Linked DNA regions of Rhinolophus ferrumequinum. Each later gene encodes a partner of the first gene's protein in a complex. Links are inferred from orthologs where the notes say so. Each region holds a gene or a part of one and is shown in the gene's direction. Other genes may lie near its edges.

Region 1 (7,714 bases):
TTCCAGATGAAGACAGTGCGATACAGAGAATCACGTCCTCAAGAATCACAGAGGTAGGATTTTAACCCCCTTGTAGTCTGGCCCCAGACTCCTGTCGACTGGCAAAAATGACTCACCAGAAAATCCACCCAAAGAGCGGTTTATTCGGGAAAAGAAAAAGAAACAAAAACCACCTCTGCAGTGCGGGAATACACACCTCCCACCTGGGGCTCCAGCTGACTGCCCACGTGAAGAAGAATAACCCGGTTCCAAGACAGCTATTCTATTTATTAGCATCCCTCCCCCGGAAGGTACCACAAAGTCCAACCGGAAGTCAGGATCAAAGAGTCAACAAGGGGCCCAGCTCCACCCATAGTCCTCACAGCTCTGTGGTTTGAGCATTTTAAGATGCCAGTTCACTTTTATCACCCCAAAGCCTTAACTAGATTGCTGAGAAGGATATTCGGGTGAAAACTTGACTGGCAATTCGGTGTAATGGAAAAACAATATTTTGTTATTTGTACTTCCCAGGGGGCTAGATCGTGTGTGGGTCAAACAAATTGGAGGTATTGAGACAGAGGTAAATTGTTTGTGTAGCCAAGGGACAGAGATTCGGACAGGTGGGTCTGGGAGATTGTGTTGGGAAGAGAGAAGTCATGATCCTGGGTGCCACGTGGGGCAAAGGGAGATGACGGAGACCCTACCACCTTCATTATTTTGAGGGCAAAGCCAGAGAAATTTGGGAGAAGAAACATGGCAAGAAAGGGTTTGTGAAGTTGAATATAGAGAGTCCTGTGATACAAAACCCACATATTTGGAGGAGGTGAGAGGGAGTGAGCCATGCAGATACCTGGGGAAAAACAGTCTAGTCAAAGGGAACAGCCAGTGTGATGGCCTTAAGATGGAAGTGTTCCTGGCATGTCTGAGGAGCCTCAAGGAGGCCAGCATGGCTGGAATAGAAGGAGCAAGGGGTCAAAGAAAAGATGAGCTCAGGGAGGCCATGGTGGCAGGTCTCACAGGGCCTTATCGGTTGTGGAAAGGGCTGGCTTGCTCCCCGTGAGGCAAGGAGACTTTGTAAGGTTTTGAGCAGAGGAACAATATATGGCTTGTGTTCTAGAAGGATCCCTCTGGCTACTGTGCTGAAAACTGACTTGGCGGGGGCGGAGTAGAGAGACAGTGGGGCACAGGAAAGGGCTAAGCCGTAGTCCAGGTGGCATGGGGGTGGCTTCCACACTTCTGCTAATAGCGAGGCTGGTTAGAAGGTAGTGCCCTAGGATTTCCTGAGACTTTGGGACTAAGTGGAAAGTCGTGGTTGCCATCTGCTGAATGTGGAGGAACAGCTCTGCCATGGAGCCCTGGCCCCCGGTGCTACCACACCAGCCACGAAAGCAAAGGTTTGACCACAGATCGTCTGAGGTTTGGCAGAATACCTGTGACCTTCCCAGAACAGAGAGAACGGGGTGGGGTGGGGGTGGGGGTGCGGGTGCCTGTGAGGAGCTGCTCTGGGGCCATCACCAATAGAACTATAGACTAAAACTGCGTTGTCTGTTGGTCTAGATTATAGCCTCCCTTTTCTTTTCTTTTCTTTTTTTTTTTTTTTTAAGATTTTATTGGGGAAGGGGAACAGGACTTTATTGGGGAACAGTGTGTACTTCCAGGACTTTTTTCCAAGTCAAGTTGTTGTCCTTTCAGTCTTAGTTGTGGAGGGCGCAGCTCAGCTCCAGGTGCCATGTTCAATTTTAGTTTCAGGGGGCGCTGCCCACCATCCCTTGCGGGACTCGAGGAGTCAAACCGGCAACCTTGTGGTTGAGAGCGCACTGGCCCATGTGGGAATCGAACCGGCAGCCTTGGGAGCACAGAGCTCCAACCGCCTGAGCCACCAGGCCGGCCCATAGCACCCCTATTCTGATGCCATCCTTTTTGCTGGGCAAAGAACCGTGGGAAATTTGTTTTTGCCGTCGACGTAAGTAATAAACTGTTTGAATCTATGAGTTGGATCGGTGGTTTCCAGAGGGGAAGAGGTTGGGGGATTTACCTCTGTCATTTTGCTATTAATTTCTGACATGCCTTATAACTTTTATCGCTCTCATTTCCTGCATTTCTGTCTTCTTTTGTGTTTAGTTTTTCTTTTTTCCGCAGTGAGACATTGTAATTCCTTTCTCATTTCCATTTGTGTATATTGTTTATTTATTTTCTTAATGGTTACCATCGGGATTTCATTTATAACTTCATTTATAACTTTCATTTATAACTTCATCCTAAAGTTATAACGTTCTAATTTGAATTTATATCTGTTTAACTTCAATGACATACAAACCTCTGTTCCTATACAGCTCCGTCCCCATCTCATTTTAGTTATTTATGCCACAGAATTACATCTTTATACATTGTGTGACCAAAACTGTAGATGAATAATTGTTTTTTTAAAATGTATTGGTCTCTTAAATTATATAGAAAACAAAATGTGGAGTTACAAACCAAAGCTACAATACTACTAGCTTTTAGACTAATCGTTTTTAAAAAAAAAATGCCTTAAAAATGAATAGTTTTTAAAAAGTTTTTAAATCGTGTAGAAAATAAAAGAGGAGTTACACACCATTGTTACAATACATAATACTAACTTTCATAATTCGTGTATTTACCTTCACTGAGATCTTTTATTCTTCATACAACTTCCAGTTTCTGTCTCGTGTTCTTTCATTTCAACCAGCAGGAATCCCGTTAGCATTTTTTTCAGGGCAGTTCTAGTGGTAACGAACTCCCTCAGGTTTTGTTTATCTGGGAATATCTTGGTTTCTCCCTCACTTTTGCAGGGCAGTTTTGCCATATACAGAATTTTTGGTTGATATTTTCCCCCCAGTACTTTGAGTCCATCAGCCTACTGCCTTGCGGCCTCCAAGTTTCTGATGAGAAATCAGGTTGAGGATCCCTAATATGTGGTCATTCACTTTTGTTGCTTTCAAGACTCTCCGTCTTTGTCTTTTGATGGTTTTATTATAATATGTCTTGGTATGGGCCTCTTTGAGTTCATCTTACTTGGACTTTGTTGAGGTTCTGCAATATTTGTATTCGTGTCTTTCATAAAATTTGGGAACTTTTCGGCTATCATTTCTTCAAATAATCTCTTTGACACTTTCTTTCTCTCTTCTGGCATTCCCACAATGTGTACGTTGGTCAGCTTGATGGTGTTCCACTGGTCCTTTAGGCTCTTTTCACTTCAATCTTTTTTCTTTCTATTTCTCAGACTCAGGAACTGCAATTGTCCTATCTTGAAGTTTTCTGAGTCAGTTTTCTGCCTGCTCAAACCTGCCTTTGAATCCCTGTAGTGAATTTTTCATTTCAGTTAATGTACTTTACAGCTCCAGAAATTCCTTTTGGTTTCTTTTTAGGTATCCTTTTTATTGATATTTCCATTTTGTTCGTACATCATTTTCTTGACTTTCTCAGTGTCTTCCTTTAGTTACTTCAGCATCTTTAAGAGAGTTGCTTTAAAGTACTTTTCTAGTAAGTCTGCCATCTGGTCTTTCTCTGGAATGTTTTCTTTTTGTTTTTTTTTCTTTGAATGGGCCATGCTTTCAAAGATTGGCAATCAAAGGCAATTGGTTTCTTGGATTGCCTTGTGATTTTTTTGTTGTTGTTGGAAACTAGGCAAACAAATCTAATAATACAAAATCAGATTATTCTCCTTTCCCAGGGTTTGCTGTTATTTTATTTTTATTGCTATAGGCTGTCTTTGTGCCAGGGATCAGCCCGGGATCTTAAGGTCTTAAGAACTTATTAGGGGGGGAAGCGCTAGCCTTTAAATCCCCTGGGAGTTGCTTCAGCCAGAGGTGGAGAGGCTTTCAAAATGAGATGGGCTCAACAATGGCTGCTCACCTCTGTGCTTGAACTTCTGAGATCAGGAGCTGCAATCAACAGAGCACTACCCCCAATATTTTGGGGGTGAGGTCTCACTGCCCACCCTTGCTGCTGAAAGCTGGATGCGAGCTGCTCCTGGAACGCACGCTCAGCTTTCTGACATTGGACTGGAGGGATACAAGGTATGGTTTGGCGTTCTATGTATTTCAAGTATGCTCCTGTGTCTTTGAAACAGATTTTGAAGTCACTAGATGGAAGGTAAGGACATATCACAGGGTGAGACATCGCTCAACCATTTTTCTGTTGTTGGATTTTTAGGCCATTCTAATGTTTCACTATTAATAGCAATGCTGCAAAGCACAAGCTTAGGCGTCCATGTTCGACTGTACATCTCAGCGACTTTTTAGGATAACTTCTGGAAAGTGAAATTTCCTGGGCAATTTCCAAGGGTTTGAGGCTTTAAAAAACACAAATATTATTCCAAAAGTACTAGGTTTCTCTGTACCGGAGTTGTCCGTATTGAAGTCTACAAAGGAGGGCAATTCTGGCTGAAGGGTTCTCCTGTTTCCTTGGGCAGGGGGGAAAGAGACTTTGTAAAGTGTGCTTCCAGGGAGACACAGAGGGTGATCTCCCACATTTGCTTGGTCTGAATTAATGTTTAGAGTACATGTTCCAGGACGCAGGCCCTTCCATCTATGCAGCTGGCTTTTCATGATGCTTTGGCCAACCCTGGAAGCAGGTGGACAAACAAGCAACACCTTTGAAATAGTGACCGTGGTGGTTTGGGCTCGGACGCTGGGGAGAGAGGAAGCATAAGCTGTGGCAGCCCCGGGGGGATGGTCAAGCTGTGCTGTGTGCTCTCTGAGCCTCCGCCTTCTTCCTTTGAGCCTCTAATGTATTCCTGCTTTCTAGTTCTCTTTTTCTGTCCTTGCTGGCTTTCTTCAAGTGGCTCCGTGGCACCTGCAGCCCCGGGATTCCTGCTCCTTTCAGCTATGATTCACCGAGTCCTTCTGTTAACAGGTGGGCCAGGGGTCTGAGGGTGGGGCTTACGTGATGATGAGGAAAACTTTTGAGACTGTGAGTCTCTACTCACAAGTAGAATATCTAGAAGGGATGTAGAATATCTAGGAGTTACACTGGGGAGAGATAAAGCGAATTGGGGCGGGATAAGGGAGTCCTGTAGGAGCGCAGAGCAGAGCTAGCCCAAGATGGCATGACCAGAGAAGCCCAGGTGAACGGCTAAATTCATGGGCGATTGATCTGAGGGGGTTCGGTTGGCCCCTTGATGTCACAGATGAGGAAACTGAGGCTTAGAGAGATGAAATGACATGCCCCAGGGTGTGCAGCCAGTACCAGATTCCTTTCTGAGTGTTTCTTTTTGGGTTCCACGTCCACTTTGCCTCCACTTCTATTTTTCAAGGACCCTGGTACGAATGCTTGTCGAATGACTGACCACTCATAATGACATTACTTCCTTATATGCCTGTGTCTTGTGGTAAATGGGTCAAAGAAGGAAAAGAAATGCTTGTGAGTTGCACAGGAAGGAAATTGCCTAACTGGGAGGGTTTAGGAACTTGTTTGTTGGTCAGGTCAACAGTGGAGCTCGGCGGGGGGCTGGAAGCACCAGTGGTAGTGGTGGCAAAACTGTCCTGGGGGCATGAGGCAGGGATTGCACCTCCTGTTTCTGTACAGTCTGAGAGCAACCACAGGCTGCAGGTGCACACTTGTAATCGATTTGTGACTGGGCACACTAATTTGGAATCCCAATGAAGTGAAATGTTAGATCCCCCCCCAAAGAATTCCATTGGTCTTATTAGCAAATTTGTAATTACAAATAAAAAAGGGGGGGAGCTCAATTATTATATTTTGAATTTCCTTAATGACAAATTTCTGGAAACACATTTTCTCTCTTGTTATATTACGTCCCCCAAGGTCGTTGGCTCCCAAGGTCTAAAATATCTACTCTCTGGCCCTTTAGAGAAAAAGTGCACTGACCTCTGCCCCAGGCCATTGGAACTGGATCTGGGAAGCAGACATCTCTGTGCTGGGTTAGGGTGAATCCTGCCAGGAAGATGGACAAGCTGCTTTCTTAACTACGTCCCCACCGGCACCTGATCCTCATTCCTTTTTTTCTTCCAGCCTTGGGCTTGTGTCATGGGTTCAACCTGGACACTCAAAACGCAAAGATCTTTCAAGCGAACACAAGGAGCTTCGGGCAGAGTGTGGTCCAGTTTGAGGGATCCCGGTAAGGGCTGCGTGTCTCACAGGCTTTCCCTCTAAGACCTGCGTATCAGAAAGAAAACGTAATTTCCTTGATGTTGTTTTATTTTCCTTGATCTAGTGTTGAATAGGTCATACAATGACAGGGTTCTTAATTCAAAAGACACAAGAGTCTAGCAGTGAAAAATCCTCCACACTGCTTTCCCCAGTTCCCGTCCTAGGAGGGTTTTTCTGTGCATTCTTCCAGAGAGGGTCTCTGCTGGGCAGACGTCCACATTTCCCCAACCCCAGCCCACACACAATTTGTAGCACATGTTACATTTAAACTATGCTGCTGCCTATTTTTGTAAATAACGTTTTATTATTCCCACCCCTCCAACTCTGTGCCCCAACTCATCATTTATTGTTTCCAGCTGCTTTGGTGCTACAATGGCAGAATCAAGAGGTTGTGACAAAGACCGCATGGCCTGAAATATTTACCGTTACAGAAATAATATTTATGGAAATAGTAGTATCCTTGCAGACAAAGTTTGCTGGTTTCTGTTCTATACGGTCCTTTGCATTTGGTTTTCTTAGTAGAGCTCGGTAATCTTACCAGATAAGTGCACAAAGAGCTTACTTTTATGCTTCTGTTACTGGAGAGCAGACTCTTCTCAGTGTGGTGTCCAGGTTCTTGGCATCCCAAACAAAGAATTGAGCGGGACACCAAAAGGCAGTGTAAGAGAGCAGTTTATTAGAAGCCAAAGTACACTCCAAAGAGATGGGGTCGGGATCGGGCCGGGCAACACAGTGGCTCAAAAGGAGCCGACTGGCGAGGACTTGGAGTTTTTCTTTTCTTTTCTCCAGAATGGGCTGTTCCTTTCTGGGTGTGGGATCACTTGATTGACACCTGTGATTGACAAGAGGCGATTATCTCATTTTTTTAGACTGTGCATGTTCCTTCCCAGAATTCAGTCTGTTATAATGATATTAATGAACTTCCGGGCAAATGCATGATATTATAATGATGGTATAATGAGGCCCAGGTGAAATGAAGGTCACTGTGGCCTAGGTGTGAGTGGCCTGTTTAATCTAGTTGGGTGCTTTGTATCCTTGAACTCCCTCCCAGTGGTTCATGGTGGTTATAGTAGCTAAAGGAGAGGTCTGGGCGGTCCTAGGCCATGTTGGACGTGCAGGAATGTTACCTGATGTGTTCGGGCGGGCGTCTCAGAGACCCAATTCCTATCTCTAACTGCCTGCCTTATGTCCCCCTGGAGAGATGTGATCCCCATAAATCTGTGGGAACTTGAGGGACAGGAGATTGCCTCTTCTGTATCTGCCTCCTGCTGACTGTGGCCATTGTCCCTGCGTATTGGGGATTCACGGGACTCTCGCCCTATCTGATGTTCGAGGAGGGGAAGGGGTCTCGAGACGGCTCGAAAGGCCCTGTTGACCTCTTCGGTTGGGATGTACTGGAAGTCTTGCTGGGGCATCACTTGTGTCCCCTCAGCTCCTAGATAAGGAGAGAGAGATTTTGGTGAAACAGAGGTAAAAGTGTGGGCCCAAGAAGCAGGACCCAAAGCCATCGCCGCAAGGTGGCTGTGGGATAGAACGTGTTTAGCTTCATGGTGTCTGGGGCCTTTTTTTCTGCTTAATCCGGTCATTCGGGTGGCGGTGT
Region 2 (7,528 bases), on another chromosome or scaffold:
GTTTTCTTTTGTGAAGTGTCTGTTGCGACATTTTGGTGATTCTTTTTTGTTGGATAGAGTGACTTCTGGTTATTGAGTTATATGGACCCTTCAATATCCTGGGACACAATTTTTGTCACATGTGTATTTTGAGAATATTTTTGTGCATTCTCAGGATTGCTTTCTTATTATATTTTAATGATGACTTTCAAAGAGCAAAGTTTTAATTTTGATGAAGTCCAGTTTGCCAATGTTTTAATAACCATTGGTGTTATTTATGCCTTATCTAAGAAATCTTTGCCTACTCCAAGGTAACAAGGATTTTCTCCTACTATTTTTCTAGAAATTTCATAGCATTTGCTTTTCCATTTGGGTCTCTGAGCCATGTTGAGTTAATTTTTCACTATGATGTCAAAGTTTATTCCTTTCCATAGAGATATCCAGTTCTTCTGGGACCATTCGCTGGAAAGGCTACTCTTTCCTCTCTGAAATATGTTTGAGTCTATGTGTGAATTGATCGTTTTTCTCCGTTGACTCATAAGTCTATCTTTATGCCAGTATTGCACAATATTCTTCATTCTTTTTTCTTTACAGCAGGACCTGATACAAGCGTGTGAATCCTTCAACTTTGTTCTTTATTTTGAAAAAATGATTAGCCTATTTGAGATACTTTGCATTGCCAGAGAAATTTTGGTATCAATTTGTTAATTTCTATAAAAGAGTCTAAAGGGGTTGGTTTGGATTGTATTGACTCTACAGATAAATATGGAGAGAATTTACATCCTAACAATCTTAAATTTTCCAATTGATGAACATAATGAGCCTCCCATTTCTTTAAAAGTACTATAACTTCCGTAAGAAATATTTGGCATTTTTCAGTGGATAAGCCTTCAAAATATTTTGTTAAATTTATCCCTCAAGTAGTTTATGAGTTTGATATATAATTTTTAACATTTTATTCTCCAATCGTTCATCGCTAGAAATAAACATAAAATCAATTTTTATAATTTGAACTTGTGTCTAGCTGAAGGCACATTAGTTCCAGAAGCTTTCCTTTGCATTCCTGTCAATTTTCTATGAGCATACTTATTCATATGAGAATAAAGACAGTTGTACATCTTCCTTCCATTATTTTTATTTATTTTATTTCTTTTTCCATTGTCTAAGAAGTTTAGACAATGGATTACTGCAGCCTCCTTTATTTCTTTTAATTTCTGGCCTTATTTTACTGGCTGAGATCTCCAGTACAATATTGAATAAAAGTGGTAAGAGTGGCCATTCTTGCCTGGTTCCTAATCTTAGATGGAAAGCTTTCACTGTCACTATTAAGTGTCATATTAGCTGGAGGCTTTCCACAGATATGCCTCATCAGAACAAGGATATTCATTTATATTCTTAAGTCACTGAGAATTGTTATCTCGAATGGGTGTTGGATTTTTTTTCAAATATTTTCCTATATATTTAATATGTTCCTTTTGTTCCTCTACTTACTCTGTCAATATGGTGAATTACATTGTTTGATTTTCCATGTGTACAACCAGACTTGCAACAGAGGGACAAACAGCCAATGTGATGATGTACAGTATTACATTTTTAATACATTACTGGCATTGATTTAATTAAATTTGTTAAAGCATTCTGCTTCTATGCTCAGGAGGGACATTGGGTCTGTGGATTTTGTTTCCTTGTAAGGTGTGATCAAACTTCTTTGGGTATTTTAGGCCTGATTTGCTGGGTGAGTCTGGGTAAGCCCATTGTCCGAGGCCCTTGCAAATTTAGAACCTTGATGTGAGCAGTTTTGTACAAGAAAGACAAGATTGAAGGGCTTACATCAAGCTACTTAGATTCATAAAAGAAAGACTGATAAAGTGTACATTTATAAAATATCAGGGAGAAATGGTGGCCGGCATTGTTGGTTGCTTCCCAAATACTTTTTACCTCTTCCTTTTGCTGGGATAGTCTGTGGCTCCATGACCAGGGAACTGACCTAGTCTCCATGGAGGTTTGGGCCTGATTTACTTTAAGCCAAATATGGGTGAAGCTCTTTAAATGATATTGAAGAGCCTGGGTTTACAAATTGAAAATGTAGAGTCAAAAGATGGAAAGATCTGGGTCCTTGAAGACTTGGAAACACTGACTTTACTGGCTTGTGTTGCTGTGAGACAAATTCCTTACTTATTTAAACTGTTCTTAGTGGCATTTTCTGTTTTGTTTCTTTGTTTTTAAATAAAAAATAGCATAATCATTACAAATATTACCAAAGATAGAAGTTTTGTAATCTAGTCACAGCAATAAAAAAAAAAAAAGTATGAGTGTTTTTTTTTTAATTACTTTTGAACTATTTCTGAGAGAGGAAGAGAAATGTATTAATGGAACTTCCATCCAGCTGTGTAAGTTGGATGAATTGTCCTTTTGCATTCCAGGAATATTGAAAAACTCGGAGTGGTAGTCAAGAATCTAAACATCTTGCCAGTAGGCAGCCCAAGAGACATGCTGACAAAGTTTTCATCTGATTCTTTCACATTTTTAAATTTCATGCTGATCACACTTCTCCTTGTATTTGTCACTGCAAAATCAGCGACCTCATTTTCACAACACCCTTAGGACATGTTATAATTTCTGTGATTTCAAATCATCTTGCATTAGTTATATTTTAGCCTCGTAACACGCATGCTGGGGGCTCATTACACCTGGAGAGGCTGGGAACTGGAAAACAAGGGGAGCCTTAGCATAAGCCAAGAAACTGCTGACAGGAGGTTTCGGGGACAGAGAAAGTGTGAAAGGGCAAGTTTGGAGTTAGTTATTCTTTACAAGAAACAGGGACAAGGGGAAGAAGTTTAGACAATGAATAACTGCAGCCTCCTAACTGAAATCTCTGCTTCTACTTTTGCTCGCCTGTGTTCTAGTCATCATAGCAGAGACCCTATTGAAGCAGAGTCCGTTTCTGTCACTCTTAATGGCTTCTTCCCACCTCATTCAGAATAAAAGTGGAATTCCTTACAGTGAACAAAGGCCGAGCGTGATCTGGCCTGTTACTTCTCTAGCCTAGATGCCTACTTCCCCTCACTGAGTTTCTGCTATTACCGAACTAAAGGGGGTTCGTTTGCCTACGTGCATCAAAACCGAATGAGACACGAACATGGGTTTGCAGCAAAGAAAGTCAAAGTTTACTTAAGGAAATGGCACCAAGCCCAGAGACATAGGTGAGCTACTGCTCAAAGACCTGGCTCCCCGATGGCCTCTAGGGGATGGTTATACAGGGGAAAGATCATCAGTCATGGTACCTAAGGGAGCTGGGGTCGTGGGCTCTACTGTTTGGTCGGGGCTGGGTAGGAGGCAATTGATCATGGGATCACGTCCTGGTGTCAGTCGTGGCGTCTGTCTGTCTGGTTCTGAGGGGATGCGGCCGGTAGGATCCTTCTGCCTTCATGGGCCTGGAGCTCAAACATGACTGAGTTCAAGATGTTATCTTTAGTTTGACTGATCACTTCGTAAGTTATATAAATGTCTAATCGCTATGGTGTCCACCTGCAACTAACAATGTGGATGTCAACTGTAATACAAATTAAAAAAAATAATAGAAAAAGAATTATACAAGGCACTTAATAGATATTTGTAAAACTGCAATGAAGGGATGCGACCTTAGATCTATGGGAAACAGAAGTATATTTTGCCATCACTTTTGGGGTGGGTGCCATCAAATGATAAGCTGAAAGGAAGTGAAAGGAGCAAGATGAAAGAAAGACCTGACAAGTGGCAGAAAATCGCAAAAGCTTTACTTTTTGACAATGTTTGGGTAATTTGTGTAATCATTTGACACACTGCTTTTATCTCATCTATATCATAAATATCCATCTCTGTGTTACTTCAACAATCCTAGCTGTATTACCTAAGCATCTTTCCTCATTTGAACAAAATGGAAACTCCAGAAAGCCTTAAAGCCCAGCCTCTGAGTTTTACCACCCCACTCCGCTATCCCCACTGCCGAGTTTGAACTACATTGATTAATTCCCTAAATTCTTGGGTGTCAAAGGCATGTCACTAAATAGGTCCCCAAAGGCACCAAGGAAGCCAAAAAAGGAAAAAGCCCCGTAAAGGAAAATAGCATTTAATTGGGAACTCTCAGACATCTGTCACTCTGTGACAGGCGCACCACCGGGCTTTGCACGTTTTGTGACTTGCAGGTGGGACAGGACTGACAGCTGAAGTCACTGGAACTATGTGTAGGGAGGGCGTTTGGGGGAGGGGAGGACTGAGAGGATGGTTTTGAAGATTGTGCTTTTAAATTCTGAATATCATTTTTTAAACATCGGGGCCAATCTTATCACCTAAAATGCCATCGATCGTCCATTTGAGATGCCCCACTTGAGTAACTGGCCTGGTGCACCCACCTAAAGAACAGGTCTTGCAGAAAGTTGGAAAAAGAAAGAGTGTGTCGATCTCTGTTAAAAACAAAGCCAGGTTCCATTCCTGGCCTCTCGGTTCAAATCGGTGAGCGTGCTCCTGCGGGGAGCGCCTGCCCCTGGAGAATTCTGCTTTTAATAAGCTTCCCAATCAGCTCGCGAGGGCAAGGCGCGCTCCCTCCCTCGCGGGGCCTGCGTCCTCTCCCAGCCCGCTCTGCTCAGCCCTCCCATTCTCCACTTCCCTTCCGTTCCCTCCCTGGCGGGGCGGAATTGAGTCCAAGGCAGGATCAGGTTCCCCGCCTTCCAATCCGAAAATCCCGCCAAGGGAGTCGCAGAGTCGAGGAAACCCCAAAGTGGAGCCAGGGGAAGAAAGAGGCCAGTGAGTCACCGGCCAGGAGCAGCAACCGCGCCGCCAGCCGCAGCGACTCGGGTACCTGGACCCCAGCAGCAAACCTCGCCCCTTTCAACAACAAAGGCAGCCTGAGCGCAGAAAGCACGTTTGCAACTCAAAGTAAGTGCAAAGGGATGCGCGAGTCTCCCAGGTGAATCCCATCGAGTTTCCTTCGCCTCCTGCCACTTTTCGAGGCGCCAGCAGATGATGGTGGTAGGAGCGGGAGAGACGCTGGCTGCCTTGGTGGCTTTCCTGATGCGGTTGCTTTCAGAACTGATTTGCTCCGGAGGCAAATTGAGGTATATTTTGGGGGAGTCAGGTCAGGAGACTTAGGGTGCCCAGAAATGAGTGGAAGGCACGCATGCATTTGTCCAGTGTTCCTGCTACCAGCTGGAGGAGATGGCAGGGGCTTCACTCTTTGTAAAACCTGCCTAAGTAGGTGTGTCTGTGGCTGGGTAGGGAAGAGAGGGAAAGTAAGGCACCTGGGCAAGCAGGCCTCCTTTCCCCATCCTTTCTCTGCTCTCTGGTCGCCTTGCGGGCTGGTGACTCTTAGCTGGCATTTCTAGACTCCATATGGGGGCTGGTTCCTCCCAGTGCCAGCGGACACGAAGCATCTAGCACTCCTTGTCCTGCCTGCCAGCCCAGGAATGGGTTTAGAAATGATTATACGTCCAAAGTTGAAAAGACACACCTTTAACCCCATCTCCCATTTGGATGCTAATTTGAATAACTGCCCTGTACACAGGCATTTGAACTTTTTATTTCATCCACCTAAAGCTAGGGTATATTTATCACTAATTTCAGGTTCTTAGTTTCTGAGTTGATGTTTCTATTAAGAAAAATATTTTTAAAGAGAGGAATGTATTCAACTCCTTCCCTAGTTAATACACAGAACAACAGAACATAAAACTTCCTCTCTCTCTCTCTCTCTCTCTCTCTCTCTCTCTCTCTCTCTCTCTCTCTCTCTCACACACACACACACACACACACACACACACACACACCTTTGTCCTTAACACAACACATACAAACTCAAGAAAGAACACACACCAAGTTTATATACACTCTATTGTTAACTTACCCCTATCTCTGTTAACAACTGCTTTGTAAATTTGGGGATGCATTGAAAAAACTAGGAGTGGCATTTGGGGGGAGGGGTGGCCCTGAGAGGAGAGCAGGGACAATATGAAGGACACCAAGCCCCAGTCTTTGAGCATCTTTCGACGTAGCAGGCGTTTTGCTGTAGCAGCTTGAGCAAAGGGTGTGTGTGTGTGTGTGTGTGTGTGTGTGTGTGTGTGTGTGTGTGTGTGTGTGTGTTGGAGGGAAGGGCCTGGGAGGAGACTCAGAGCTTTTGAACTGATAACATCATGAAGCTATTTCACGATCCTGGGAAAATGTGGACTTGATGAAACAGTGGAGCCCAGTTCGCCCCTGACCATCTGGGCATGAATTGATAGGTAGAAATATTACAAGGTCATGGGAGTATCTCCCAGCACAGAAAATCAAACTTGTGTTTTCCATCTTCGTTATGCACCTTTTAAAGTCAATTATGTACTTTAAAGACCAAATCACTGAAAAACATTTACCATCTAGTTCCAGTCAAAGGAAATCAGAGTGGATAGTATCTCTTCCCCCGCCTTTGGGACATGAGTTATTTCAGAGTGGCAAGACTGGTATTTTCTCATTTAAAGTAGAGGATGAAATTTTGTATTATTTTATTTAAACATGATTACTGCCATTATTCTATGCTTTAGGAAACGTGTGTGCTTCGAATTCTGTAATTGTACTCTAAATCTGCAGGAGGTAATCTTCCCTCTCCTGCTGTTCCCAGGCCTGCTTTAGGACAGTTTTCTCATTTAGGGAAGGGCGTCTACTAGGACCGCCCACCTGAAGCCATACAGAGCACACTAGGTGCTGTATTGCAGCTGCGCATTTGTGAATACAACTGTATTATATTTTCAAATCTAGAGCTGGGAGAGAAATGAAACTACTGTTACCAGGTCACTTTTTATTATCTAATTTTTAAATGAGGTATTTAAATGAGAATCTCATTTAACAGTAAGCATAGTATAACATATATATTACATACTTGTGTGGTTTCCGAGACCTCTTTCCATGACGTTTGGAGTAATCAATTTACTAATGTATTGAAAGTTTCCATCATGTACCTTATTTAATCTTTGCATATGGCAAGCCCACATTTTCTTTTTTTTTTTTTTTCATTCCAGTAAGTCAATAGCCTCATTTGAATTTTCACAAAACCTAATCTTTGGAAACAACCTGACGAGAGAGGTAAAGTCCCCAAATAGTTTAATCGTTTTTATCACTAAAATCAATCTTAGAAATTAAATATTTTAAGCTAAATTCCCCCCCTTTGAAGATACTCTTGCTTTCTCATTTAAATGACATCCTCGCATGCATTCTGATCCTATTCCTATTTGGCATATGGTGTGTTTGTTACTAATCAAACTCTTCTCAGGAGACTGAGTTTCCTTGGCTTGTTCACAACAGTGCAGTAAGTTAACAGTAGATGGAGGGCCAGAAGGCAGAATTCAGAATGTCAGTTCTAGTTCTCCCAACACTTGTGCTTTTTGATATGGTGGCATCGCGATAAGGGGAGCTGTTCTTGACTTCTCTCTTGAAGGCAGTGTCCAAACAGAGACCTCGCCCCCCAGGGTGATGAGGGAGCAAAAGCGTCTGACACCTGAGTGCTCCTCAGTGCTGTTTAAGGTGTGTTCACCCTGGAGCCTCAGGC

The links.
Region 2: the proteins of ITGAM (region 1) and PTN are in contact, whole or in part, in an NMR structure (PDB 8VOH), measured with the Homo sapiens proteins. The link is inferred for Rhinolophus ferrumequinum from reciprocal best matches to the Homo sapiens genes ITGAM and PTN. Residues at the interface, in NP_000623.2 of Homo sapiens: Pro273, Asp276, Arg277, Gly279, Val280, Ile281, Arg282, Tyr283, Lys306, Pro307, Arg309, Asp310, His311, Ala334, Ile335, Glu336, Gly337, Thr338, Gln339; in NP_001308315.1 of Homo sapiens: Val56, Pro57, Thr58, Ser59, Asp61, Cys62, Gly63, Leu64, Thr66, Glu68, Thr79, Lys81, Thr82, Gln83, Arg84.

Annotation. Positions count from the first base shown.
Region 1 is NW_022680357.1:178,817-186,530, reverse strand, and holds the start of ITGAM (integrin alpha-M), read left to right. Parts: upstream 1-4,705; 5' UTR 4,706-4,730; coding exon 4,731-4,857; intron 4,858-5,976; coding exon 5,977-6,082; intron 6,083-7,714.
Region 2 is NC_046309.1:11,293,352-11,300,879, forward strand, and holds the start of PTN (pleiotrophin), read left to right. Parts: upstream 1-4,515; 5' UTR 4,516-4,893; intron 4,894-7,528.